7 linked regions of the Oryzias latipes genome follow. The protein of the gene in region 6 interacts with the protein of the main gene of each other region in a pairwise test. Links are inferred from orthologs where the notes say so. Each region holds a gene or a part of one and is shown on either strand. Other genes may lie near its edges. The genes, in order: prpf31, inha, tmem43, numb, cathepsin K, siah1 and rad51ap1.

Region 1 (4,070 bases), on a different chromosome or scaffold from region 6:
TCTTTCACTAAAACATTACATCTGTGATAAATTCAACATTTGTCACAATTATGCAGATTAATTGATTGTACTGCAGTTTAAGATATTACAAAATACTTCAAAGTAAACTAATTGGACAAAAATGAACTGAGTAGGGCTGTCCAAATAATTGTATTTCTCCATTTAGTTAGTTCTTTGTTAGACAAAAGTATTTCTATATCAAAGATGTTTAAAACAACAATTACATTGCAGCATATTTTTAAAAGAACTCTGGCAAAAGAGCAGTTTTTGAGAATTATAAAATTCCTTAAATAGTTTTGAAGCCATTGACTATATTTATAATACAAACAGAGGTTTTGATGAATTTACAGGCAATTCTATCAAATACTAATAACCATAAGTGACTGACCTCCTTCCTCCTCTCTTCTTTCTCTGTCCGTCCAGCGGGGCTGGCAGTGGTTTGACCTGCTTCACTGGTGGAGGTTCCTGCCATTTATCAAACTTTCTCTCTATTTCTTCTTTTAGGTCATAGCCAACCTGCATTACAAAGGGAGTTGAATAACAGAGACAGAAATTATATTTCTGAATGTTCCTTTAATTTGAGATGTTTACCTTTCCATCTGGACTCTCGTGGAAACTGTCTACTCGAGAAGCCAGAGTGCATTTCGCGGCCACCAGACGAGCTGCCTTCCTCCTAAGGTCCTGAGGGGGGAGAACAAAAGGGGAAAGGAGATAACTAAGGCAAACAAACATTAGATGTGGAAAAGGTACTTGTTATTCTTGAATATGGTGTACTGACAGGAGGCAATGACTGCACAACATCACAGTGGTAGATGTAGCCCGTGTGAGGAAGCAGCGATGTGCTACTGAAGCCTGACAGAGTTTTCCTTTGGGCTCCCAGCAGCATCAAGTTGCAGGCTGGCATCTTTGAGAGGTTTGTTAGGCCTCCAGCAATGCCTTCAGCCAAACAGGGAAAAAAATTCAAAAGTAAGAAAAAAAAATGTATGGGCATAAAAAAACTTGATATTTTCTAGATAGTTTCACTTCCTCACCCATGATCTTTGCTGCAGTCGATGCTCCCACAATGATTGACAGGTTTGGAGCTATAAAGGACATTCTGGACTCTACATATTCATATATCCTGTGTTTTGACTGGTTGAGCTCCAGAGCCATGTCACAAGCCTCCTCAAGCTGCTTCAGCTCATCTTCCGTTAGCAATGACCTTAAGAGGAAAACAATAAAATATATAAAGGGAGTGTCTATGTAAATAAAATAAACAACAGACATAATAATGGAAATGTTAAAAAAAAAAGTTTATTGTAATAGGACACAAGTACCAACATTCTTAAACTTACCCCTGTGTAGTTGATGCAGTGACACTGACGACCATAATGGTGGCATTGGTTAGAATTTGCTGCAGGGTTTCATTGTTTTTACATTTCTCCAGGTTGTTTCCCAATTCCTTTATACGAAGCACACATTTACAACAAAAAAAGGGGGAAGATTTAGAGGTTAGATGCAAAAAGAAAAAAACAAACCTATGCAGAATAATGGAAACCATTCAGCAAATCTTTTCTTTTAATAGAAGAAAAACAAAATCAAAAATTTGATATCCGGTAACTTCAACGTCTCCAAACTTATCTTTTAAGATCAACAAACCTTGACTGTGCGAATGTAATCTAAAGAATCTGGAACCAAAGACTCAAGCTCTGGAAATCTCTTGGAGTATTTGTCCCTTGTAAACTTGTGAATGATGTCTGAAAAGACAGGAGAAACACAGACCTCACACTTTCAGTTGAAAGAATCCAATTTCTTCATTAGGTTTTGTCGCACAATAAAAGTCCAACTCACTAAGCTCATTGTCAATTTCAACTGTAAGATTGTTGGCTGCAACAATCAGCCTGTATTCTGGGTCAGCCTCAACTGGTCCTGAAACTGAAAGAAAATACAGGTAAACAGGAGAAAAAGAAATGGAAGTAAATCAGTAACATTTTCTGTTAAAATGCACATTTTTTCAACACTCACCATCTGAATTCTTGCGCTGTTTTCCAATATATCCAGATATTTTTTCAATTATATCTGAAAACTGAAAACAAGCAGTTAAAAGGGACTGCCTTCAGGTAGTGAAAAAAAGGAACTCTTTATGAGAGTCAGCTAAACAAAGACCTGTTTGCTATTGCGGAGCTTGGCGATAGACGTAATGCTGTCAGTTTTACTGTAGTCCACCTCCATCTCTTCGGGGATATCTTCCAGTCTTTCTGTCCTCCCTGAAGCCCCCTCTCCATCACTCCCTCCTTCCTCCCCCTCTGGGTACAGCCCATCTTCCCCCTCATCTCCAGCTTCCTCCAGGTCAGCCAGAAGCTCGTCAGCCAATGACATCTGCAATCAGAGTAAAATTCATGATCCATCTTCTAACAATGCATCTTTCAGCTTAAACGAGAGTAAAAGTGTGGGCAGTTGTTAAATTTGTGTTTATTGCAATTATTTTCAAAAGGAAGTAGATCTAACGAAAGTCTATCAGTGTTATTTTTTATAAACATCCCGTTGAAAAAAACAAAAACTGATATCAGTCTGCTATTCTGTGTTAGCTAGCTAAAGTTAGCAAACGTTCACCAAACGTCATTCAACACTGAAAAATAGTAACTTACGTCGCACTTTCAAAATGAAGTAAAACAAAACAAAAATATATTTATATTTTTTTAAAAGTCACTTTAGACAGGAAGGGTTCTAATAGAAGCCAATATAGGTAATGCTACTTGTGCGGCTTCTTGCTCCTGTTTACAACATAAAGCTCACGATCCGGGTGGTTTGTCGCAGAATAAATACGTCACGATTTCCGCATGGGATTATGGGTAAGTATCCCCTTTCCTTAAGAGATGAGAAAATAACATACGGGCTTCTTTCTAAAAATGAATGTTCGGTCTTTATGAGTTTACTTGGTTGCTTTAATTACCTTCTCTTAAAAAATGTGTAGTAGGTCGCAACTAAATACATATTTATTCGAATAAGGAGTTACATTTCAGGCCACAAAATAAAAACACAGGTTTTTTTCTAGTATTCCGAAAATGACTTTACTATAACTCTTCTTTTATTTGTAGTTCTTAAAATATTGTTTTAAAAATATTTTTCTATTCTTAATTTATTTTATATTATTTATTAGACCCTTAAAAGCTACCTGTACATAATAGGAAGAGAAGTTAAAAAAACAACAACAAATAACTAAATAAATGACTAGTAAGTTTCTGTGACAAACTGTTAAAAAAAACGTATTCAAAAGTGATGGGACAAAGTAAGAACTTAAAAACTTTACATTTTATATTTAAATTGCGTTTTAAAATATTTACACACAAAATATAATACATACATGGCAGCAAAGTACCAGTCTTGCATTCAGGAAACTAGAGTTTGGTTAACTTTTTTTTTTTTTTTTTTTTACAACAATTTTAATAAATTATGATACTTCACCATAGCACACAAAAACTTTATAGAAATAAGACAATTACCTTTACAATCAAAATTTCATTCACAAAACAATGGGCCACAAATTCTTTATCAATGGACGTTTATGCTTTGACCAATTGTGGTTTCCCACTTTATTAGACTTATATTTATTAACTGTTCTATTTTATACATTTTATTCTGTAACTGACTTCTGCTTTCAGTAGAACATATTTAAATATTACTTCTAATTGACACAATATAGGGACTCAGAAAGGACCCTGCCCTTGCAACAAATTGGTGAGGTATTTGAACGAATGAACAATGACTGGGACATGACCCGTATTGGATAAGAGGCTCACATTTTGTAGTTTTTATTGTACATCCTCCCCTTTGAAACCCAGTTTTTAAACAATACAATTTTAAACCAACATTTAAACAGACTAAACAAATGGACTAGTTGGACCTCAGCTGCATGATTGATGGCTATTAGTAGAAAATGAAATAAATTAACAAATACACAAGCAAATGGTCTTATTTACTGATGAGCAACTGTTCTGTCATGCTAAGCTACATAAACGGTCATTAAACAAGATAAAGAATGACAAGACTGCTAATAATATAAACATGAAAATAAGGAAACATTACAAGAC
Region 2 (4,136 bases), on a different chromosome or scaffold from region 6:
TGATGCTCGTCAGTGAGGCGGCCACTGCGTGTGAGAAGAATAGGGAAAGCCACTGTAAGTGGCTAAAATGCGTGGAGGGGGAGGGGCCTAGAGATAATCGAGCGCGCGTAAACATCTGTGGGAAGGAAACGGAGACAAATATCATCACAACCTGATATGTGCGTCTGAGCTATGAGCAAGCGAACTATTGATTTGTTCTTCCGACCTGCGGCTAGTGTACCAGTGTACCTATTTGCGGTCTCCAAGATGATATTTAGCGGCCCCCGCCTTAATATGAAAGTTTAATGTTACTGCTGCCCGCCAGTTTTAATGAATGACACTTTTTTATTGCCGTGCGCATAGCTGACCTACCAATCACAGTGGGGTATTTGGCTCTTGGGGGCGTGACAATGACAGGGCTTGAAAGCAGGAAACCTGACAGCCCCCTCCCTCCCCAGACCACATGAAGGAGTTCCCTACTTTCCTTTAGAACGTATTAATTCGCTCGTAATTTTCTACATACACGCAGTCCTTGCTGAACTTTTCTCTGGGTCACACAGACCCGGAGGAAGGTTTGGGTTTTGTTCACGGTTACGGCGGCGCATCAAACGGTTTATGCACGGCTGTTACGGCAGCACGCCGCTCCCGCGGGAGTTGGGTCAGCTGAGGAGAATAAATGTCCCACACCTACATGCGTGACAGCTAATGGGGCTTGAACTTTAAACACGCTCGAGCAAAAACATTAGTTTTAGACACACTGAAAATACGTGGGGAAAATGCAACGATAGACGTGTTTGAGATGAACCGGCAGCTCGCCTGGATCGTTGGGGAGACCAGGCGGGGGGGCTGTGAGATGAAGGCGAATCTGCAGCAAGACTGAGGGACAGCAGGAAGTTGGAGTTGTCCTTAACATTCAATTTAGTTTTAAAATTCTTCTCCCCCTTAGTATGATCTGTGTTATTATATATTTTATGATAATTTTAATGTTGTGTAATGTATGTAGCCTTTTTTTTAATGAATTGGTATTTTAAATTATTTTAATTAATCACTCAACTACAAAAACCATCAGGACACATGTCCCATAATGCATTGTTTTGTAGTCTGTAGGGCAGCTTTCAATCACTTCAGTTTCCAGCTGTGTCCGGGTAGGTTTGCCCCTTGCTCTCACCCCTTTCTCGCGATATTTTTGTGATGATTGACAGTTGATGTTGGAGCAAAAACAAAAATATATGTCACACACCAGGTGATCTGCGCAGCGTTGAGTTCACCTGGGTGATCTCAAACACGCTTATTGTGCATCTTGGCTGCACCTATTTGGTGTCACCAAGATAAATTTCCATCTGTTTTCTTTACTATTTGTACTGTCATGACAGCGATGGTGCTGTCAGTCTGTTGTTGCATCTTCAAAAGTCCAGAATAAAATGTGACACTGCATTTGAAACAGCACATTGTAATTTCTGCATCTATTATTAAAGTATTTATTAGTAATACAGTGGAAATTAGTAGATTTGGTTAGCATGTTGATTTACGGTATGCGCCCCTAAATTTGCTGGTTGTGCCCCTAAAATTTTCAGTTAGGGGCCACAGTGCTCCTAGTGAAAAAAGTTAGTCTGGAGCCCTGATAGGTCCTCTCATGTTGACTTTTTCCCTAAGAACCAGCTCTGACAATTTTTTAAACTAGTTTAAAGGCGTTCCAAGAAGTCCTTTAAATCCAGAAACCCCTGTTGTTTTCTAGCCTAGGACATAGTTTCTGCAGAGCGGCAGTAGTTTGACTTGTGGACGGGAGTGTTTCCACGGAGAAACCCCGGCCCCCCTTCCCTTCAATGTTGCTGAGAGCTCTCTGTTTACTCACTCTCAAGCAGGGAGCTTGTGGCCCAAAGTATTTTCTATCACAGATACACTTTTTTTTTAAACTGCATTTTTCTCCTGTTTCACAACAATTTGAAAACAAAAAAATAAAAAACTTGCAAAGCAAATTTTAAGTATAATTGTTCTAATATACTGTAAGTCCGAAAAATGCCACAAGAACATGTTAAAAACACCCAAACCATGATTTTGTTTCTTTGAAATGGGTGTTTCATCTCTGGTTGTATTCTTGCCTGACCTCTAGTGGCCAAGTAAGGCTTAGCAGGTAAAACTTTTGAAAATCATAAAAAAAATATATTTTCATTATTTTTCCTAATTTAACATTTGTTACTGAGTCAGCTGTGGAACAGGAGGAATCTGCTTCATTTTTTTTCTACATAATTTACATTTTTTACCAAATCACTACTTTTTATTTTTTTATTTTAGGATTTTTTTAAGTGTTTCTTTTTATGAAAATGCTCAAATCTAATTTATAAAGATGATAACTGATGATTCTCACCTGAAATTGGCAGCAAAATCATTTCAGATGTCTCCTCCTCTGGAACTGGCTGATTCTGATCCAACAGTCCTCGCTTCGACCCAGGACCCCTCGTGATCATGTGCCAGGTCTCCCAGTTTGCCCCACTGTTTGCCCCGCTTCCACGAAGGCCTCGCGGTTTTGTCTGGGGGGGTTTCTCCAGCCCCAGACTCTCCAGAACCCGTTCCCTGAAGCAGGACACCACCACCTCTTTAGGTAACTCCTCTCCGCTGCAGGCTTGAACCACACCGTGGATCCAAAGAGGACCCAGAATGACGACGACACACAACACCATGACTGTGAACCAGTTTATCCTAAATTTAAGAATGGAAAAAAAGACCCTCCTGTGCGACGAGATTCTACTCTCGTATATGTTTAGACTGAGCAGCAGCTATCTGGGTTTGTGTGTAGCCTGTGAGCAAAAGCATTTTGTTATAGGTTCAGAATACAGATAACAAAGACTGGCCTTGACTGATGGGATGTAGCATTTCCAGCTTTGTGGCAATTTTTTTTCCTCCCATTTTGTTAGAAATGCTTTTGCTCACCTAAGGTAACTAAAAGTAATGTTTGCTGCAGTTTTTTGGGGGGTCATATTTTGTCTCATTGTAGTGCAACTCTTTTGGACAAATGAGGTTTTTGACCAAATTTTAATTTTGTCTATATCCTATTTGCAGTGACGTCTGGTGAGGTTGATGGCTGGTGAGGCACTGACTCCTCTGGAGACAGATTTAGTATTTCAAGAAATGAATATTTCACCATTCATCCAACAGCAGGTAACAGCAGATAAGATACACACAAAAAACATATTTGTCCTACAGAGAATATTTATTTTATAGACATGGATAGAACACTCTTCTTGTGTTCTTCTCAGTAACACGGGGGACAGCAATGAGGTTTCCCCTCATAAACGACGTTATTACAAAGCAGACTTTCAGCCTGGTTGTGTCATTTGTGGATGTAACTGTGTGTGACAGGGTTCCTGTGGGCTCCTTCAAAGTCTCCAGAGGATGCTGTCCCCTTCAAGCACAGACAAAATAGCTTGACATCAAGAATGTTCATGTTTGCATCAAAATAAAAAGAATCCAAACAAGATTCACTTGATTCATAAAACTGTGGCTGCAACAGAAAAAGCTGATTCTCAGGTCAATCACTGTTTTTTTCAATTATAATGTTAAAAAAAAAGTATTGTACATGCTCATGACTGTGGCAGAAACAACAGAATTCACTCTGTCCTTACACTGTAAACCCATCACAAACACAATATTCATGCATTCATCTTGTAGTTCACTAAAGTTCTGGCACTTCATTTTGAAAGGTTTGACTCAAAGACGGATTCTTGCCAAATGTGTCAAAACATTTAATATTGGTGGCTCACAAACAATTAAGAATGGGTTCATAAATTCATACAAACTCTACTTCAATAAAATATTAAAGGAGTTGCCACGTTTACACTCACGCAAGAGGCAACAAGACAAGGAAAATATGACTTCCTGAGGATGTTTAACCTAAAAAGTCACATTTCAATCCAGCCAGGCAGGTGGCGCCTGCGGCTCATACAATGCCGTTCGTGGCTTTAATGTTTATTTATTTTTTTTAGGTTTACATGGGTGAAGAATTTAGAAATTGTGGGGGTAAACCAGACCTCACTGAGAAAAAACAACCTTTTGTTTATTTTAAAGATTTTTACTCTTCTATATACAGTATATATTTATATATATATATGTATGTATATATATATATATATATATATATATATATATATATATATATATAT
Region 3 (4,214 bases), on a different chromosome or scaffold from region 6:
TCAGAGTCTGGAACTTGTTGATTTGGTCCACCAAACCTGAGGTTGAGCCATGGAGAAAGAATTACATCTGAGTGCAGCGTCTGCACCACAGGTTGGATTGTTGGCTCAAAAACAACAACAACCTTTAGACAAAGTGAAAGGTCCAGCCTGGACTGCAGGAGCCACCACTGTCACACTCTCAACCGCCATGGCACTTCCATGAAAGGGACATGTCAAGTTACATCACACACACGTGGAGGTCTGGTCTTCATCATGGCATACCTGGGGTTTTGGTGACCTATTTCTTGATCAAAATTCCTGCTGTTGATCAGCTCCGACTTCCACTCAGTGTCTGGAGCAAAACAAAGAGAAGCACATCTTTCCGGGGCCAAAGCCAATCGCAGCCAAAGAGGAGAAATAAGGGGGGAGCCACTCACTGTAGGTGTAAGTGGTCTCTGTTTTGGATTCTCCGTTCTCCTGATAGTCTCTGAAAGTTCATTTGAAAAACTCTGACATGTTGGCAGATCCCTACATTCTTGAACTTGGTCCTGCAACACTGACCTGCTCTCCCTGTACTCCACCCACTGATACATCTCCACCTCCCTCTTCAGCTTCACCGCCTGCACCACCACCTTGTAGTTGGGGTCATGAAGAGCCTGCACACACAGAGATGCACATTAACACTGTAAGTCCCAGCGCTCTTTTCATTATGATTGTGCCGTTTTTACAGACAATCAAAAAAAAAAACTTTCATTCTTCAGGACAGTTTCTGCATAGCGGCAGGAGTTTATCAGAAATTTGCCTCTCAGTTGCAGGCAGGACGGTTGGCGCAGAGCAACCCCGCCCCCCTTTCCCCCGCCTGTTGTTGAGAGCAGGGAGAACTTATTTTTTTCATGATATTTTTTCTTTACTGCAAGTTCTAAACTGGCCAATCAGATGCTTCGATGAAAGTATGTGGAGCACAACAGGATGTCGCATGTCGAACCTTCACAAATTTTGATTGACAGATTCTCCTAAGCACGCTTTCAGTGATAGAAGTGGCTTTCCAACAAGCTCATCACTGAGCGGACAGCTTGACAAGCGTTGACTGAGACCGACTTGGCCCAATCACTGCTTACTGACCATCTCTGGCTCCAACGTGGTCACATCCGTAGTTCTAAAGAATTGACTTCATTTTGTTGGAGCAGGAAGAAAGTCATTTTTTCTGGCTGATGTCACACTCACTCAGCCCAGTTCTTCTATAGTCATTGGTAAAAACTCTGAATTTTGTCATTAAAGTCCCACCTTTTTTTACCTTAAATCCCCTTTGTATTAAAAAAAGGTTATTATTCAAATGCTATTACAGTAGTTTAGGACAGAAGCATAGAAATAAAGAGATATTTCATCATTTGTCAATGACACTGGATTAAGAATTTTCAAAATCAACATCAACGATCCAGAACAAAGGTAACTTCTGCACAGCAGCAGCGCTCATTGGGTTCTACCTGAAAGGTGTGGAGCTTTGCAGACAGGTGAACTAAACGCTGATTGTTCTGCAGTTCTAGGTCGGGGTGAGGCCCCAGAGACACCACCTGAGAGAAACCTTCATCCAGGGAGGATGCGGTCTGCAGAGCCCGACCCTGAAGAAACAGACGGAGAAACCCGACAGGTGACGATCCAGACCCGTGGCGGCTTCATCTGATGACTGACAGAGCCGTGCTCCTTACCTCGTTGGTGAAAAGAACATAGATCGAGAGAAAAAACAGTCCAATACCGAGGACTGTTCCTCCTGCAGTGTCGCCCAGTTTCTCCAGGAATCCAGGGTTGTGTTTGACAGTGACCCGCCTGTGTTGATCTGGCACTTTACCTGGATGCTAACACAACAACACCTGGATGTACACAAATGCTGGAGGAAGACACTGATTTCACAGTAATAAGTGTAAATGCATTCTTACAGTGGCCCAGAAGGGTCACAACACTTTAGATTTCGCACACCCAAATAACACACTATAATTTGTCACAACATTAAAAAAAAAAATCACTCACAACACAAAACAACAATTCACAACACTTTAATTCAGTGAGTTAAAGTGTTGTGAGTTATTATTTGGTGTTGTGAGTTAATTTTTTTTAGTGTTGTGACGAATTGTAGTGTTATTTTGTGTTGTGAAAGTGTTGTGCTGTGACCCTTCTGAGCCACCGTACATTCTAAATGAGGGAATGTACCAATGCATAATCTACAACATGAATAAACAAGAACTACAAAAAGTCTATCCTTAGCAAAAAGTACTACATTACAAGTGTATTTATTACTTTTACTTGAGTATAGGCTTGGCAAATATACTAGACCACGTATGTGTACCAGTGTAGGAAGTATGCTAATTGAATACTTCTATCTAAAGACCAAATTGAAACATTTTAAGTTTACTATAGTATCTGAAAAGCAGCCTTCAAGTATACTGCCTCTGTTTAACTTAAACATAGACTAGACTACTTTTTGCTAGGGGTAACTTCCTATAATACTCCCCAATCGCAGTTCATTCATTCTTAATCAACTGTGATGTCCGTGATAACTACAGCAAGAAGAACTAGTATTAAAGCAGACTAACTGGTTCAATCACAAAAGACAAACTCTTCTGTCCAGAACAGCATGTTTAAATATTGGTACTTGCTTAAAAAACACGCCAGAAATGTAATAAATTCACTTACAAACTGTGCAGAAGACATTTTTCCGGCTCGATTTACTCTTTTAACAACAGTTGAGTTGATGTTAGCAAACTGAAAGACTGTGGACGCGCAGGTTAGCTTTACCTTACAGAGTATCCCGACATGCATTTGGGGGGGCGGGGGCAAGATGGTTGTCAGTGGGAAGTTTGGGCGTGCCTTCGCAAACCTATTAAGACGACATATCAAGCATACCCCTCAAGGGGTTATGGGTAATGGCGTTTAGTGCACGACAGCACAGCGAACTCATGATTTCTTGTGCTTTTTAAAAGCATAAAATACTTCAGTAAAATGTAAAAGCCTTAAAAAGATATTTGATAAATACGTTTCTTCTGTCGTTAATGTTTCCATCCTATTATAGCAGCTCATAAGAAGCTTAAAACACCTGTGTGAAGATGCGTTCAAGGTTGGCTCAAAATTTAGGATTTCACTTTGTCCCTCGAATGTTGCGGGATTGTCTGGTCGGATTTCAGTGAACTTGACCTTTTGTTTTAGAAACCTCTCCTTCGTTTCACCTGGAGAGGTGGAGCTTTGTAAATAAATATATTTAGCTAAACCAGTCCTTCCATAATTATGATAAATATTATTATTAGTATTATTATTATTAGTATTATTATTAGTATTATTAAAGTTGAAAGGAGGGAGCATCACCTCCTTTGTCTTTTCTAAGGTCTGATTGCTTGCTGGTGTGTGATCAGAAAGTTACTTGACTGCTTAGAAATTGTTTACATGCTTTAAAGATTTGGGCTTTTCATCAAACAAAATGGTACTCTCTTTGTGCCTTTATAGAACCTGTTTTTCAGAGGAAGCAGGTCATGAACAACACTTGGTGTCACAGTGTCAATATATATCATGGAAAACTAAATGTCCATTCATTCATCTACCACTGAAGACGGACATGTGAAATGAAAAGCGTTAACTAAAGACAAATCCTTAACTCAGGACTCTGCAACCTGAGGTTTTGGAGCCACTCTGGGCTTTATTAACCCTTGAATAAAGATTAGGTTTGTGGTTTTGATCCAGTTCCTTTAGTTAATAAAATGTTGTCATTTTTAATTAAATATTTAAAGAGCCATGCCAGTGAAAACTGTTTTTGGTGTTTTTAACATGTTCATGTGGCATTTTTCTCATGATCAAGGACATACAGTGGTGGACAAAATTGTTGGTAGCCCTCAGTTAGAGAAAGAAAGTCCCTAATGCTCACTGAAATGACTTGAAACGTTCAAAAGTAACAAATTAAAATGTATTAAAAATCAAATAATCAAAATCAGCCATTACTTGAGTTGTTGATTAACAGAATTATTAAAAAAAAGAAAACTAATGAAATAGGGCTGGACATAGATGATGGTACCCATAACTTAATATTTTGTTGAACAACCTTTTGAGGCAATCACTGCAATGAAACAGTTTCTGTATTTGTCAATGAGCCTTCTGCACCTGTCCACAGGTATTCTGGCCCACTCCTCATGAGCAAACTGCTCCAGTTGTCTCAGGTTTGACGGGTGTCTTCTCCAAATGGCATGTTTCAGCTC
Region 4 (3,985 bases), on a different chromosome or scaffold from region 6:
CATGAAAAGATCAGATACAGGTCGCATAGGGGCAAAAAAATCAGAATTGGGTCGTTTCAGCCTGCGGTGTGAACGTAGCCAAAGAGGTTCATGGATGTATTTGTCTGCAGGTGGATGAATCAGAAGGGGGCGGAGCTGGGAGACTTTGGCCCCGCCTACCACAGCTGCTGCTGTGGTAGGCTGCAAACAGCAGATAAAAACCTGCTGTTTGAAAAAAAACAGCAGGTTTTTATCTGCTCCTGATCCATGACGATTTGAATAAAGAAATATTCAGAAATCCAATCTTGTAATCTTAACTTCTTCTATACATGTCCTCCATCACAAGAAAAATTGGACAAAAATGACCCCCCCATGCAAAGGTGATAAGGGGTTTTGGAACCCATGAACCGCAACTTGAAGCATGTGTAGAGAAAAGGTTGTGGAGAAGAGATCAAAGAGCTTCACCTCCACCTCTGGCGCTAACTCAGAGGATGCTGGAGAAACGGGGACAGTCCATCCCTCTGGCCCCACCATCCCTCATCCCATTTGTCTCTGTGCCTACATGAGAACATCATGTCTCCCACTAAACCGCACCCCACAGAGGAGGACTGGGCCTTCTGGGCTTCTCCTCCTGCTGCTGACATATTCACAGGGGGGGCGCTTCAGTGAGAAACTGCCAATGCCCCTCCCCTAATTCTTGGGGATGACCATGGGTTACTTTAACAACCTTGTGGAAAGAGAAGCCCCGCCCCCATTTTTCAGCCTATTAGAAACACTGGAGCTGAATTGATTCCGAATGTGAACCTGCCTCTTCAGAGGACCTCCTCACTGTGACCTTGTGTTTTTAAATAAAGCTTTGACATTTTGAAATGCAGCAGATTTCACTCTGATGAGATTCACTCAGGCCAGCGACTCGGCATTAATGCTTGTAAATGTTTAGTAATGATGTGCCTCCTGTTGTTGTAGGGTCATTTTATCAGACAAAGAAAACAACAACTCATTCAATTTCCTTCATGCTCATTATGAGCAGCAGGATGTGAGCTTAGAAAATGTGGATCATTTTGGTCTCTCAGTTATCATCATCATCTGCAATAAAATGTCTTCTGTTTTACAACACACAGCAGCACTTTCTGTCTGCATCTGTCATTTCTTCTAAAGACCAGTTCAAACCCAAACATACACCTAAAATAGGGCAGCTCCAAGCACCCGAAGAAACAAACCCTTTACAAACGAAGCCTTTTACATTTGGAAATCCAAATAACTACAGTACTTTTGAATTTCTAAGGAGATCCTGTCCTGCAAAAATCAATTTACCGTCCAAAGTATTCCATTAGAGGAAATTCGGATTTGTTACAATTCTATTTGATATTTTTCATCAATTTATTTAATCTAAAGTCAGACAACAAATAAAAAGTTTAAGAAAAAAGAGTTGAGTCATCCGAACCAAACGTCCCAGCTGAACTTTAAGACATCAGCTGGATGAATGAGATCCTTCATGGCATTTTACAAAATCCTATTTATGGAGAAACATATAAAACTGACATTTTCTTACTAATCAAGAAGCAATAAAAAAATAAGTAGGCAAATTTCTGAATTTTGCTAAACAAATAAGGGAACTTTATGGCTGTTCTAGCAGTTTAAAAGTGTGAAAATGAAGTGTATTAAAATTATTATTTCGTGAAAAGCAAGATTTAAACACCAGATGCTAAGTAAATTAATAAATGATCATATAATAAAAGCATGAACTTCGGCACGTGACAGACTGTGCCATAAATAAGCAGCATGATGCGGTCAAATATTAGAACTGTAAACTCTAGACTTTACCTTCTTCCCGGTAACGTTAACAATTCTCCTTAACTTTCCCCTTAAATCCCAAACAAAGCAGCAGTGTTTCCGCATACCCCCCCCCCCCCCCCGATCACTGTTTACCGTGACCCCCCCGTCACATAAACAAAGTTGTGACCTCGCGGGACGACGACAGACTCCCGCTTCCCAATGTCCGTCATGAGGCTCGCGCCGTCAATCACGCGCCTCTTTTCCTGTGGAAAGTAATCTGAGTACCGATGTGGATGCAGTGGGGGGGGGGGGGGTACTCCCGGCAGCCGGACGGTCTCACGGAGATACCATTACCTCATCTCGGGCCCCATTATCACACCTGGAAAAAAAAGCTGCGCGTTCGGACGATGAGTCACGGCTCGTTCTCGGAGAGCGCGAGCTCGGAGCTCGCGGAGGCTTCGACGTGAGCCGTGACACAGCCAACATCCGAACTTCTTCGCACTTCCACACCCGCGTGCGCACTTGTGACAGTGATATTACACGAGTGGGCCGTGTGTAACAACGTGTCGTGACAGTTCGCGTGCGCTCTGACCTCACCCGTTTACCTCTGAAAGTTAAACCAGGTACCTGGAAGTTAACCAGGTGATCAGAGGACGAGGAAAAACGTCGAAAGGGCTCCGTTTTCTTCGGTTCTTCCCGGTAACAGATTAGACCGGAGACGGTTTGAACACTCCTGCTCGCTCACCGCGTCATTAGAGAGATTACAGACCGAGCTAAGAGCCACAGAACCGGGCTAACACCACTGCATCAGCCGGGCTAGTGCTACTTTAGCCCCTTTTGCTAACCCTTCTTTCCCGCTCACCTGTGATCACCTCCGTGATCCAGACGTGGCCCCGTTAAAGCCCCGACTGTGACCGTCGAGCCGTCCCGTTCCGGATAATTCAAATTCCACAATAACCGTCACCGAGACCCTCCGGGCCAACCGCCGCCGCTGAATGGCTGCAGCGCGAGGATTCAACCAAACCTCGCCCTTGGCAACGGACCGCCTCCGCGCGCGCTCATAGGCCGGCGCGTGCGGGTCCACGGTGATCGATGGCCACTGGGCCAAATTCTGAGGGGTTGCCGACAAATAAGAAATTTAGCACAAAGACAAAAAAAAGATAAGGATGATTTTAGAGTAAATAAATTATTTTTAAAACATTTTAACTTTTAATTTAAAAAAGGAAGGAACAATTTTAATCTGTGCAATAAATTAATACTTTTTAGTAAGCTGTTTAGCAAAATCAAAATAAAAAATGTAAAAAGTACAAAAGAACGTTAAAACATTTAAATTCATTTATTTTATCTAATTAAATTAAAGAAAACATAAAAAGCTAAAGACGATTTAATGTTTTTCTCATTTTAATTAGCAAATTTTTTGTTTCTTTTGTATTTATTTTCTTCTATAAATTAATTACTTTTCTCGTTTGTCTCTGATTGATTATCATGTCTATTTTTTGTGAAAACAATGCAAAATATAACCATTAAAAATAAACATTTATGGGTTTTCAGGTTTAACAAAACACTATAAAGGCACCACTCTTGATTCTGCCAGTTTGATCAATGAACGGGAAAATGCACAATGTGTCATCCTGTTTCACCCTCTCTGACCAAATAAAGGTAATCATTTGCTTTGCATAAACTATGAAAGCACAGCTATTTGACACATGTTCCACTCTGCCGTTATTTCAGCGTCTGACTGATTCGATGATTTATTTCTTTGAGCAGAACTTCCCACAGTTCCTGCACAGCTCGTGTCTGAACCATCATCATGTTGATCATTTGACCATCTTCAGCCGCCCCACGCAGGCCTACGCCCCTCTACCCCCATAGCGACACACTGGCCTCTTTAGCTGGCCAGAAGTTTATCAGCATTCCTGACATAGCTCCAATGGGTACAAAGCTGCAGAGCAGCATATTTTCTCCTATCAGAAGGCAAACACACAGAGCTTCAGCCGGCAAAGCCGGTTATGATGATGGTTTCTCTTCTGTCTTGTGTCTCTGACTGCTGACCTCTAACACTGTCTCTACGCCTTTGAAAGCCAACCCTCTTAATCATCTCTTCTATCTTTTTATGCACATAACAGGCCTGGCAGGTCCTGGGGCTGCATTCCTGGTGAAATGTTGAAGTATTTTGCCCCCCTGTGGTCAACATGAGCAACATCAGCAACAAGCTCCTGAGCATTCGCAG
Region 5 (3,500 bases), on a different chromosome or scaffold from region 6:
GCGATGTTTCTGATGTAAAAATCTGTTACGTATTCACATTTTTAAAAACAACTTTCATTTGTCTTAATAGAGCTGAAAATCTATTTGTTTTGTTTATTTTCTAAGTTAGCCTGTTTACAGCTTTGGGTAACTTTAAGCTTCTTGGTTGAATAAGTAGTTGCAGATCGATCTAGAATTATTAGAGAACTCTGTCTGTCATAGAAAGAAACATGAGAAAGTTAACATTGTATAAGATGAAATTTAAAATAGAAGAAACTTCTTGACGGGAGTTTAAAGTTGTACATTTATGAGGATCAAAAAGTTTCCCCTTTTATGGTCCACCTTTTATTTAACTATCCTTTAAAATAGAACTTTCAGGGTTGTCTGCTCACATTGGATCATAATAATCATTAGGTTAGATTTAGACTTTGAGCCAAACATAGTAAAAAACAACAACATTTGTTATTGTCAATTTGCTTTGACAGTTGTGTCATTTTTAAGCTTTGGTTCAAGCAGTTACGGGCAGCTTCTGTATGAAAACTGATTTATTTTCTTGATCAAATAAAGAAATACATTTAGTCTCTTTAAGCTTCCAAACATCTTGTTACTACTTTCAATTTCCCGGACACAAACTGACAGACACAACAGCATCTTGTTTTAACAAGAAGCATTTTCCCAACCAGAATCTGCATCCAAACTCTGGTGGTTTCTGTGCTAGCGTTAAAAACAAAACAAAAAACAGAGCAGACAGAAACAAGGACGTCTGGGTTTGTGCTCAGACCTGGTTCTTCACAGAAGTCACCATGCCCTTCTTGCGGTAGTCGACAGATTTGGGAAGTTTGATTAGGCTGCCATCCGTTTCCATGGGAACTCTGGGCTCAGGGTTCAACGGCATCTGCAGACCGGTCATCCTCTCCACCACCTCTTCCTGGGTCTGTGAGCAGAGGGGCAAGTTACACTCGTAACCATGATGCCTTTAAAATTTATGGCAAAGCAGTTGGTTTGAAAAAAATAAGTAAAGATCAAACAAAACATTTCGAAAATTAGGTAAAAGTTTTACTTTTTTGCTATGTGAAAAACAATAAAATGTGAAAAAAAGGTAAATGCAACAAACAGAAAATTCATTTTTCTGCGAGGGTCTGAAATAGAAAACCAACAAGGAACAACATTCTAATGACTTCCTTTAAAAAAAAATGTTTTCGTCATTTAAATTTAGAACCTGTTTCCAGAAAGATGAATCCACCCTTTAACCAGAAAGTGGATGTACATTTACTCTCATTATGAAGCGCTGCATGTTTTGACTCGCTGCTTCATTTGCAGCATGTTTTGATCTTCATGTTAAAACAGCCAGCGCATGTGCAGCGGCGGATGATTTAAACAAGCTGAACATCAGAAATGCAACTCAGTGCACGTGTACAGGAACTGCTTTTCTGGGGCTTTTTTTTAAAGATTTGACCAAAAAACATTTCTTCAAGAAAGTAACCAGCCACACATGATTCCATTTGTTAGTTGGATAAAAATGAACCGAGGCTCAGTCAGCCACTTTATCTAAAGAGGAGATGAGGATTGTCACCATGTCTCCGAACTGGTTCATTCCCAGCGTGTAGGTGTGCATGCCCAGAGCCGCCTCCTGGTTGTGAGCTTCAATCATGCGCAGGTTCTTCTCCCAAATGGCCCTGCGGATCCCCTCTTCCTCCTGAGGCAAACAAAAGGTGTCAAATCTTCCCCTCTGAAACCAAACCGGAGCTTATCCTTCACTCTTTAAAAGATAATCTTATATTTCATTATTGATTTTTTGTTGCTGTAATAATTTAATAATTCATGTCCTGCTAATTAATAATGCAACCTTTTTTCCTGTAAACTGAAAACTCTCATTGCATATTTAAAGCTGCTCAACTGGATTTTGACAGATGTTGCCAACAGTTTTTCCTCCAATCTACATTTTCCAAATATACAAGTGTTTTTTGTACTGCCACATGCCTGCCTGCTACATTAATGTAAGTGATCACAGGACTTATAGGTCAGATCCACATATGGTTAAGCTCCCTCTTTTATGATTTTGACCCAAATAAACTTTGTTTAAGTTCCAAAAAAGTTATTTCATCGCGATAATTTGTTATTATTTAGTCAAAGATCTATAACATTACTTACATCCTGTGCATGAACATCTGTCAGGAATCATCTGAATAAACTTCATACATTATAATTAGAAAAAATAAAACTGTTATCAGTATAATAGCTAATTTAATTAATTAGGCCAATTTGAAGGAAGCAAAGCAATCTTTTCAGAAGGCTCATATCGAAATAAGAGTATAATTTCTCCTCCATTCACCAGACTTCTTCACTGATGTCTCACTCCCAAATTTAGATTCATGTCTCGCTTGAGAACAGGATGCACCCAAAGGGCTGGGTTGCTAACTCGGGGAAACTCAGGGCTCTGATTAGGCTCTTTTAACTAGGAGTATAACCCTAATTTCACTCATTATATTCCCAGCAATGGAAAATGCAAATGATGCAGGACGATTTTGGTTCTATTACTGTCATGGATCATTGAAAGGGGAAAATTATGAGAAGATGTTGTAGGAACGTTGGTTAAAACCTGAATAAAAAACAACAACAATGCCTGTCTGCGGGAATAGAAACAAAGATGCAAATGAAGCTACAAAGAGCTTAGTAAGTCTTAAAAAAAAGTAGCCACGTGCACGTCTGACACACAAAAACAGCTGCGGAGCGCTGACCTCTAGCTGGAGGTTAGTAGCAGAAAAATCTGGCGGATGCTTTAGCAAGCACTCCTGTGCGAAATCTGCAGTTTGCAAACCAAACTCCCTTCAGTTTGCTCAGAACTTAAAGAGAAGCATTTTTCACAGCAGACAGAACATTTTAGGATCAGGAAGACCCAAAAAGAGGACGTTTAAGGTCAGTTAGAGAGGAAAGGAGGCATCCTTTGATGGAAATTTCTGACACCTGCTTCATTAAACATCATCAAAACGAGTTAACATTCAAATCAGAGAAATAGGGCAGTTGCAAATTTCCCTCAGGGTTTCCACACAATGAAACGATGATTACAAAGAATTTTTAAGCAGAGCTTGCATGGAAATCGACTCCTCTGTGTTTCTGGTAAACAATGAGCCGTACTAAGGGTTATTTGTGTTTGTTCTGCTTTATTTTGTACCTTGGAGGAAATTGAACAGATGGAGAAAAATCTAAAGAAGTAGATCAACCAGTTCTGAACTCAGATTTTTGTTTGTTTGGTTGGTTGCTATAATTTCCTGTGTGCCTCTTTTATCCTGGAGTTACTGTTGTTCTAAAAAAGCTGTGAGCATTTGTTTTTTTTTTAATAACCTTCAGTTCAGCTCTGATTGATGTAATCAGAAAAAAGAACATTTCAAAAAGTCATTCCACAAACTCTTTCCCACTGATCTGGTCTGATCTTTTTCTTTAATTGAATCCATATTCTGCATCTGACACAAGAAACCTTCAATTCTGAGTATCTCAATACGCTCCCCTGGGCTGCCAGATAG
Region 6 (4,156 bases):
ACGGCGTGGGCCGGGCCCTGCAGCGGGACGGCTGATCAGCCCGACAGAAAGGTCTGAGCCCACACACACAAAACTACAGCAGACATGGGAAAACCAACAAAGCTGCCATCGATCCTGTAAATGTAAAGCAAATCCCCAACAGATCCACTCAGACACAGACAGACAGACAGATTGACAGACAAGACAGACTGACCTTCGTCCATAAGATTTCCAAATAAGGCTTCTGTCTGCTCCTGAAATGTTTGGACCTCTGAAAGAGAAAACAAAGGAAGTGCACATGAGAACCCGACAGGCTGGTTCTGAACGTTCTGCTTTGTTCTCCAGTCAGACACAGAAGTGGGCTCGGATTGTTGTGATGTTCCGGCAGACGTGAGGGCCGGATGGCGCCGAGGCGGTGTTTGATGGGCAGGACACAGAGCGTGCTCACTTTAGATTTCTGCTGTGTGGACGCTTTGCTGCAGAGCCACTCATTCATATTTCAGTAAGTCTGGTCCATTTCTGGACTAAAGGTTGACGAGTGAAACCCGTTTGTCTTCAGCTGAACAAAATCTACACAAAGCAAATTATTCCTGGACACGATTGCATCACATTTGATTTGAGGTTTCTGTTAAAACGACGTACAATGTCTCCTTCTGTGTGGAAACAGAACTCGCAAACACAGGAAGCTGCTTTTTGAAACTAAAAATTCATCTCCACATAAACCGTCTCGTCTACAAACATAGGCAGAAAACAGGGCTACGGTGTGGGAACAGGTAGACGGATAAGACCATCGATGGTTCGGGGCGTGAAGGTGAACACCAACGATGAAGGAAACCATAAACCATAAACATCTTCCTGTCTTTGTTCTGCCAATGGTTTGGTTGCAAACAGACCAAAAAGTCTGTTTCACCAACAGCTTCTGCCTCCATGAACCTCATGGAGGCTCAACAATCTTTAAACGCATCGCAAAAGAAAACCATTTCCCTTTTAGAAGCTGAAGAAATATAATCTAGAAATAGTTTCATTAATTAAGAGATTGGATATTTTTCTCAAAAGATTGGAAATTATTATTATTTTTAATTGATGTTATTTAAGAAACCAAGCAGAAACCTAAATACAATGTTGAGTAAATACAAATTGTACATTTTTTTGTATATATTGAATCCTTCAACTATGTGATGAATCTTTTGACAGAAAACAAGAACATCTTTTGTGCATCACAGAGCGAGAGGCGGAGCCTCAGAGATGGAGTCGTCCTACTTCCTGATTGGAAAAGAACTCAGGAAAATAACTAATATTTAATTTTAAAAGAAATGTTCTTTTGTGTCCCAAAATATATCATCATATACATGGATATATATATTTTTTACTATAAAAGGCTTAAGAAGAGCCTGGTATAGGCCCTTAAAGGACCAAAACATAAACACACAAAATGAATATTTAAAAAGCAAATTAGTTTTAATAAATGTTCAAAAGTGCTATTTGTGAAGAAAACATTCCCGTCGTTCCCTTTTCTCTTCTATGATAAGAAATTAAATATCCTGAATGACAAAACTAAACAGAGGAACATCAGGACAGGTGAAGGGGGATTCAACACAAACGTTAATCCACGTTAAAACAGTGCAACATAATGTACGCAGGGAAACGGTTAAAAGCATCTTCTGTGCTCGCCCACGTCACGCACAGCATCGGTGTGCCAACACGGCCCCCTGCACACAAAGTGCCAATTCAAGCCACCTTGGGCAGAAACATGGAGCTGGTGAGGATCGACGCGCTTCACCTTTAGTGTTGTGCACATTCCTGGTTGCTACGCATGAGAGCAGCCTGAACAGGGAGTTCCAGGGTGGAGCTTGTGGAGCTACACTTGTCTGCTTGGATTTCACTTGGACCACAGACATAGAGGTAAAGCATGTATGCAGCCCCTCTGTGCCACGCTGCTCAGGCCTTTTCCATGGAAACCACACACTGCTGCTGGAGCTCTACGCATTCCTCCAAATACTGGATCATATTTCCCCTCCTGCCACCCCCGCCCCCGCCCCCACCCCTCTCCCCTTGGAAAGTACAAGCTTCTGAGCGGCTGGAGTTCTGCAGCAGATCCAGAACGAGGGTTGTGTCCAAACAAACACCAGCAGATCCTTAACAGCGGGAAAACGTCAGAGTCCAGGGTGTTTGAGCGACTCCACTGCAGAAGCAACAGAAGGAGCCCGGACAGCAGCCAGGCAGGCTAAAGGGTTAATCAACTCGCCAGTCTGCACAGGAAACGGGAGGCAGTTTAGGAGAGTCATTAGAGCTTCACCAACACTGGGTAATTATCCAGTTTCTCCACTCAGGAACTATTTGACATTCCACGGGGCGGTTGGTTAGCAGGTATAGAAAGAGGAGTCAAAAAAAAGTGCAAGTTTGCAAAAGAAAAATCCTCAAAACAAGAGAGCCCCAGCTCAGAAACCTAACCTTGGCTCCCCGAGAGGAAATGAAAGAAGAAGAAAAAAATCCAGTGTGAAGTCTCCCCCTTCACTTTCTTCTCGGTTTGGATTTCAGTGATGTTCTTTGTCCTGGGGAGCGTGGTCGGTGTCAGCGCCACTGGCTGTGTTTGTCTGAAACACAGAGCTAAAGTCCGCATCCAGCGCGAGTCTTTATCTTTGTCTCTGCAGGCTCAGCCCTCACATGTCTCAGCTCAGCTCCAGCTGCATCTCCCTGCTGCTCCTGCAGCCTCGTGTCCTCTGAAAGCCTGCAGTTTGCCTTCTTTCTCCAGGCTGGACATTCTTCCTCCCTCTGCCCCCTCCCTCCGCCTCACTGTGGTTGTGCAAGTCTCAGATTTCAGCTGGTATAGCTGTAAGCTGCAGCACCAGCTGACCCCTCTGACTTCATACCTCCTTTCTCCTTTAGTGCAGCCCGTTTCTCCTCTGTCCACGTTTTAAATGTGAGCCAGAGAACACAGGGCTGCGTTCTCTGGCTCACATTTGCTCTTCAGCATAACTTACTTACACACTCTACAGCAGCGTCTCACCTTCTCAAAGTGCTCTTCCTGTTTTTGAGAAGCACTCTAGGTATGTGAAAAGCTCGCTCAGCGTTTACCGTTCGGAGCATCGATGCTGAAGATGCAGCACATCCCAGAGTCAACATCTGCTCACGAGAGGACAAAGAGGAGAAGCTTTTCTTTGTGCTTCATTTCCACATGGACCAAATCTGTGGAATTCCTTGCCCACCGTATGCTAAGCCGGAAGGATTTTTTCGCCCCCTCAGACTCAGTTATTTTCACAAATCTGATAAGAGATCAAACACGTCTGCAGCTGCATCAAAGACGGAGCGTGTCTGCTTTCAAAATCTCTGTCTGGATGTTCAGGCAGCAGTTTTTGGGAGGTCTGCAGTCAAACCTGCCAGTGGCTAGCAGACAGTGTTGTGAGAAAACAATTCTCCTGCTACATCTTAACATCTTGGCTTCAGTGCACATTAAAGTTTCCTTTATGCCAACGCAGAAACCCTGAATTCTGATTTTAAGTAATACTTTTAACAAGACTGCATTAGCTTAATCTAAAAAAGCTTTTTGAACGTGCCAACTCTTTTTACAAATTCAGCTCTTAAGCTAATATACAAAAAAAAAGAAGCACAAAAGGGACTAAATGTCATCGACACAGCAAGTTTTCATAAAGTTCCAGCAGGACCGGAGAACTCTGTAGAACATCAGCTGTTCCCTCGACCAGACCACTCATAGGAACAACCTGACTCCTTAGGTTGGGGGTCTCTTCTGGGCAAAGGGTCACTTGGTACCCAGACACAGAAAGAAAAAACAAATTTCCATTTTAGTCATTAGTGATTTTGAAAGCCATTTCATTTGGGAAAAACTACCAGATTCTCTCCGTGACACTTTATGCATGTAAAGTCGCTCGGTCACATGTCTTCCTACATGTGTGACCTTCCTAAAGAAGCCACTCAGGCGGTAAAACCAAAATAACCCCAAGATGACAAAAGAAACTCAAACCGAATTATTTGGACAATTTCTGCACAGTATAAGAATCAGAGAGATGACTTCAAAAATCAACAAGAAAGCTGCATTTAACAGATAATATCAGGAGTCTTAATTAAAATATGGATTTATTGGGACAGGTTGCTCTCACGCAGTGAGCCCTGTCTTATGTTACAAAGACACTGCTGATAAAATTGGACACAGCAGATTCCC
Region 7 (4,295 bases), on a different chromosome or scaffold from region 6:
TAGCCTTCAATCTGATTACAGCAGTTTAAATAACAGAAAGAGTAAGTGCATTGATAAGCTGTACCTGGTGGGTTCCACTTGGGTACTTTCCCCGCTGCTGGGCTCAGAGAGGATGCAGGCTTTGTGGAAGGAGGTCTGGTGGGTGTCGGTTTGGACGTTGGAGGACTTTTCACCGGTTTGGAAGCAGCTAAAATGTTTTAAAAGGCTTAGTAACAAAAATCAAGAGGATGGAAAACGTCAGCCGTTGAAACAAACCTGCTGCTTCAGGCTTCGTCTTTGACGGTTGTTTGACTTTTTTAGAAGTGGGAGCTGGTTTGATTCTGTCTTTTGGGGAGACTTTGTCCTTCTTTTGGGTCTTTGTGGGTTTCTTGACTGTAAATTCTTCATCCTCACTCTCAGATGGCTCACTGAAATCTTCATCACTTTCTGGATCTGGAAAAGCAAAGAGCTGTTACACTTATGAAAACCAAGAGAACAGTTTTTTATGGAGCTTTGGAAGAAAAAAGTGCTAACCGGGTGTAAGTTTGGGTTGATAGTCGTCATCGTCATCTTTGCATTTTTTCACTTCAGCTGTTTTAGAAGAAGTCTTCTTTGAGGCGGATGATCTGATCTCTGACGAGATTGCGTCTAAGCCTGGGACCCACAAACGACAATAAAAACACAAAAAAATGAGTAAACTGAAAGAAAATGTCGATTAGACGAAGAAAAACATATTGATCGGGGATTTGGGAGGGGAGAACAATACTTACCCAAAACTGCTCCATCCACACTGCAGTTAGAAAAGCGCAAAGTAGTCGGATCCGTATTTTCATCCATGGGGATTTGAATCTTTCCATCTGCTGGAGAAATTTTTTTTTTTCCAGAAAGAATTTGTTACCACTCTCAGAGAAAAACAAATCAACTCAGCATTTTTCAAGACAAAACAAACCTTTAGGAGATGACTCCTTCAGCCCATCTGTGTTGTTGAGCAAGGACAGTGTGATGGCTGCCTCAAGGTCTCTGTCATAAAGTTTTTCATCCAGTGGTTTTCTGAGAATATTAAGTGTTAATTGGTTAAAAACTAAATTAGTTAAAATAATTTTTAACTTCTCAGGTGCCAAACCATTTTGTTGCTGCTCAGGGATAGGTACGGGATCATAGAGGGCCAGGGGCTCAAAGTCAGAAAAGGGCAGCAAAAAAACACATTTTTTTGTTGTTTAAACTATATGGAAATTAAGCAAAAAAAAAAAGTACTAATAGATGAATATTCAGCTATGTGACCTGTATGGGTAAAAGTGATACAATTGTCATCTTTTATTAAAATAAATTATTGTCAACATGACTTTATCGTAGACTTGAAAGACATCCAAGACAATAAAACACTGAGGGCTATTTATTTTGCCATTGTGCTGCAGACATAGTTGAAAAACAGATTGTAATACACAGATATACCATAACTTTCATCCCAAAATTCCCAGCGTATTTTTTTACACAACAAATGAAATATTTACACAACTGCATTTTATCATTTTCTCCTGATTCACAACAATTTAGATAAAGAAATACTTAGAAATGAAATTTTAAGCTTACTTTTCTTCATATTTGTCCTCCATCATCAGAAAAATGCCACAAGAACATGTAAAAAACACCAAAAAGTCCTTTTTCATCTGAGTGGGTCTTTAGGACTAATGTTTACTCAAGAGGTGGAGATAACTTGAGAGGCTCACAATAATCCAAAGATCCATAAGTGACAATAAAATCCCCCAAAACATCTAAATGTCCAACGGTGTACCTGATCTTTTCTTTCTGTGACGACTCAGAGACAACTTCCTGACTTGAAGACTTTCTCTGTTGTTGTTTCACTTCTTCCTTGGCTTTTTTGTGAGGTGGAGCCTTCACGGAGGCAAAATCTTCATCTGACACAACAAAGAAACAGGCTAATCAAAAGGGGTTACCTGGTAAACGCTGTAAAACTAAATGCAACTTTGGGTAATTAAAGTTGAATCGGTATAAAGGAGTAGGCTTTAAGCGTCTGGGTCCTTTATGTCTATCGTTCTCTAGTTCTTCCAAATACAGAATCTTTTGAATAACTATAGTATAGTTATCAGCGAATGCAGACATGTATCTTTAGTTTTTATAATGTTTGGACTAACTAAACCAAACATGGAAGGTGTTTTCACACAGAAGAGAAGCTAAGTTTGAAGTTAAGTCTTAAAACTTAAATTAAGAGAAAGACGTAGAGTAGCAACACAATTGTTGTTGTGAATCATTGAACATATGATATTAGACAAAAAATTTGAAAATAAAAGTTGGATGAACAAAACACAAATAACTCACCATCCTCAAAATCCTTGGCTTCACTATAATTCACAACCTTTGTCTTTCTGTAACAAATAAGCAAACGTAGAGAAATAACTTAAGAGCGTCTTTTCTATTCACATTTGACAAGTAATTAAAAAACGATAAACTAATGAAAATGTTTCTTGCTCACCTCGACGGCCGGTCCATCCCTTTATAGGATTTTTGACAAATTATACCCTTAGTTTATCCAACGATCAATAAGGACATTAACGGCGATTTAGCCGCTATTTTACCCTTCGATCACATGAAGCTTAAGCTAGCCGGTAATTTTGCAGCAAAGCTGATTTAAATCAAAAGCCTAACACCTAACGTACTGAGGAAAAAACTTTACTTCACTTCCTCATACGTTGATACATTAATGTATACTAGTTTTGTATAGCGACAATAAAATAAGCGACTTCTGGTTTTAAGCAGCCCGCCTGAACTGACCAGAAGTGACGTCACGCTGTGTTGATTAATTTGACGGTAGCGGAAGTTGATGAAAAAAGCGGAAGTTGATTCGAGTTTATTTTTTTTACGTTTTAGTTTAGTTGTTTTTAATAAAATACCACTAGTAAAAATGTTTTATTTAAATTTTTTTAGTAAACCCATTGTAAATAAATTAAAGAAAGAAAAAAATGCACAACATTGTTTTTATTTTGAGTGAAAAATGTATCGTATCTACTGTTTATGAAAGTAGATTAGTTTTCTTAATTTATGCCAGCAGTACAGATAATACATATATAAAAAATTAATAATTTATAGATGTAATTTCACCATAAAGCACCATATTTTCTCAATTTCTTAACGATATATTTTTATACATAAAATCAATATCACACTCTTCTAACAGGAATGGTTACAAATATTCAAAAATATTGATTGTTTTCAAATTTAAAACAATCAGTATTTGTGAATCTTTATATGTATTTATTTAAATAAAGCCCCTCACTGTTTGATCTTGTTAATGTATTTCACATTGTGTATTTGTTCTCCTGTTGTATACTCTTCAATAAAATTGAAAAAGAAAATTGCATTATTCTTTTAAGTCAACTTAAAAAAATTTGGGGAGGATTTTACAGAATTAGTGACATTAGGTGACAAAATTAAGGCTTTAAAATCATGAGCATAATTACTAAACAAGTGTGTCATAATGAACTAACATTAAATGGAATGTAATTCCTGTAAACACAATAAAATGATGTATATTTGCAGTATTTGAATAGGAAAAAAAATATTTTTATTTGTTATATTGATTTTTAAAATGGTTGCATACAATTGAAATGTGTGTTGTATACTATAATTGTATTTAATTGTATTTGAGGTGTATAATTCTTTTATATTTTTTATTTCCTTAAATATTTTTGCACATTTTAAATTTTCCTTTCTTTGCTCCCTTATGCCTGATCCCCAGAGTTGTAACAATTTAATTTCTTCACAGCAGGATGTAAAAAAAGTTTATTGTATCTTATTTTTTAATATAGATGAGAATATTTTCTGGGTAGCTTTGATTACATATAATAAAAAAGACTGTTGTTGGTGCTAAACGGACAGCTGTTTGTCAAGGGGTAAAGAATCCAACCATCCAACAGGTGGCAGTATAAACTAGATGATTCAGGACTTCTGATGTTCCAGTTCCTGGGTCTGATTGACACTAAATTGACACGTCCTCAACTGCCCAGTCGCCCACACACATGGGAAGAAGCAATCACAGTTCTGAAGAGAGGTCAAAACGAAACCTCCCCAGATTTGACTGTGGTTCTTCGAGAGAGCAGCCACTGTATCGAGGGTTGTCATTTTCCAGCTTGTGAGTGGGTGGTTGTCCGCTGTGGTTTGTCACACAGTGGCCCTGGAGCAGATGCTCAGGGCTGTGAAAGGCCATGTTTTTAGGCCCAGAGAGGGAAGGAAGACATGCAGCCGTGGGGCCAAAAGGTCCTGTGGTTGCACATTCCTAAACTCCTCCAGCTCTGCCTACA

What was found.
Region 1: the proteins of siah1 (region 6) and prpf31 interact in binary tests that used the Homo sapiens proteins (3 or more experiments, as listed by UniProt). The two-hybrid records come from large-scale screens. The link is inferred for Oryzias latipes from reciprocal best matches to the Homo sapiens genes SIAH1 and PRPF31.
Region 2: the proteins of siah1 (region 6) and inha interact in binary tests that used the Homo sapiens proteins (3 or more experiments, as listed by UniProt). The two-hybrid records come from large-scale screens. The link is inferred for Oryzias latipes from reciprocal best matches to the Homo sapiens genes SIAH1 and INHA.
Region 3: the proteins of siah1 (region 6) and tmem43 interact in binary tests that used the Homo sapiens proteins (3 or more experiments, as listed by UniProt). The two-hybrid records come from large-scale screens. The link is inferred for Oryzias latipes from reciprocal best matches to the Homo sapiens genes SIAH1 and TMEM43.
Region 4: the proteins of siah1 (region 6) and numb interact in a two-hybrid assay, tested with the Homo sapiens proteins (2 studies listed by BioGRID and IntAct). The link is inferred for Oryzias latipes from reciprocal best matches to the Homo sapiens genes SIAH1 and NUMB.
Region 5: the proteins of siah1 (region 6) and cathepsin K interact in a two-hybrid assay, tested with the Homo sapiens proteins (2 studies listed by BioGRID). The link is inferred for Oryzias latipes from reciprocal best matches to the Homo sapiens genes SIAH1 and CTSK.
Region 7: the proteins of siah1 (region 6) and rad51ap1 interact in binary tests that used the Homo sapiens proteins (3 or more experiments, as listed by UniProt). The two-hybrid records come from large-scale screens. The link is inferred for Oryzias latipes from reciprocal best matches to the Homo sapiens genes SIAH1 and RAD51AP1.

What each region holds. Positions count from the first base shown.
Region 1 is NC_019874.2:19,364,284-19,368,353, forward strand, and holds the start of prpf31 (U4/U6 small nuclear ribonucleoprotein Prp31), read right to left. Parts: upstream 2,801-4,070; 5' UTR 2,628-2,800; intron 2,359-2,627; coding exon 2,146-2,358; intron 2,066-2,145; coding exon 2,005-2,065; intron 1,915-2,004; coding exon 1,831-1,914; intron 1,737-1,830; coding exon 1,639-1,736; intron 1,442-1,638; coding exon 1,335-1,441; intron 1,202-1,334; coding exon 1,032-1,201; intron 937-1,031; coding exon 779-936; intron 682-778; coding exon 592-681; intron 517-591; coding exon 389-516; intron 1-388. UniProt on the Homo sapiens protein: Involved in pre-mRNA splicing as component of the spliceosome. Required for the assembly of the U4/U5/U6 tri-snRNP complex, one of the building blocks of the spliceosome.
Region 2 is NC_019860.2:13,921,345-13,925,480, reverse strand, and holds the start of inha (inhibin alpha chain), read right to left. Parts: upstream 2,801-4,136; 5' UTR 2,658-2,800; coding exon 2,345-2,657; intron 1-2,344. UniProt on the Homo sapiens protein: Inhibins and activins inhibit and activate, respectively, the secretion of follitropin by the pituitary gland.
Region 3 is NC_019863.2:1,702,881-1,707,094, forward strand, and holds the start of tmem43 (transmembrane protein 43), read right to left. Parts: upstream 2,801-4,214; 5' UTR 2,794-2,800; coding exon 2,668-2,793; intron 1,833-2,667; coding exon 1,686-1,832; intron 1,599-1,685; coding exon 1,464-1,598; intron 636-1,463; coding exon 541-635; intron 467-540; coding exon 417-466; intron 332-416; coding exon 262-331; intron 194-261; coding exon 123-193; intron 37-122; coding exon 1-36. UniProt on the Homo sapiens protein: May have an important role in maintaining nuclear envelope structure by organizing protein complexes at the inner nuclear membrane. Required for retaining emerin at the inner nuclear membrane.
Region 4 is NC_019880.2:1,035,668-1,039,652, reverse strand, and holds the start of numb (protein numb homolog), read right to left. Parts: upstream 2,801-3,985; 5' UTR 2,618-2,800; intron 2,233-2,617; exon of another isoform or gene 2,110-2,232; intron 1-2,109. UniProt on the Homo sapiens protein: Regulates clathrin-mediated receptor endocytosis. Plays a role in the process of neurogenesis.
Region 5 is NC_019874.2:26,964,180-26,967,679, reverse strand, and holds part of cathepsin K, read right to left. Parts: intron 1,676-3,500; coding exon 1,553-1,675; intron 914-1,552; coding exon 761-913; intron 1-760. UniProt on the Homo sapiens protein: Thiol protease involved in osteoclastic bone resorption and may participate partially in the disorder of bone remodeling. Displays potent endoprotease activity against fibrinogen at acid pH. May play an important role in extracellular matrix degradation.
Region 6 is NC_019864.2:25,286,456-25,290,611, forward strand, and holds the start of siah1 (E3 ubiquitin-protein ligase SIAH1), read right to left. Parts: upstream 2,801-4,156; 5' UTR 1,878-2,800; coding exon 1,760-1,877; intron 251-1,759; coding exon 194-250; intron 1-193. UniProt on the Homo sapiens protein: E3 ubiquitin-protein ligase that mediates ubiquitination and subsequent proteasomal degradation of target proteins.
Region 7 is NC_019881.2:17,661,300-17,665,594, forward strand, and holds the start of rad51ap1 (RAD51-associated protein 1), read right to left. Parts: upstream 2,801-4,295; 5' UTR 2,488-2,800; coding exon 2,471-2,487; intron 2,364-2,470; coding exon 2,317-2,363; intron 1,896-2,316; coding exon 1,772-1,895; intron 1,030-1,771; coding exon 929-1,029; intron 840-928; coding exon 750-839; intron 634-749; coding exon 514-633; intron 433-513; coding exon 256-432; intron 188-255; coding exon 65-187; intron 1-64. UniProt on the Homo sapiens protein: Structure-specific DNA-binding protein involved in DNA repair by promoting RAD51-mediated homologous recombination.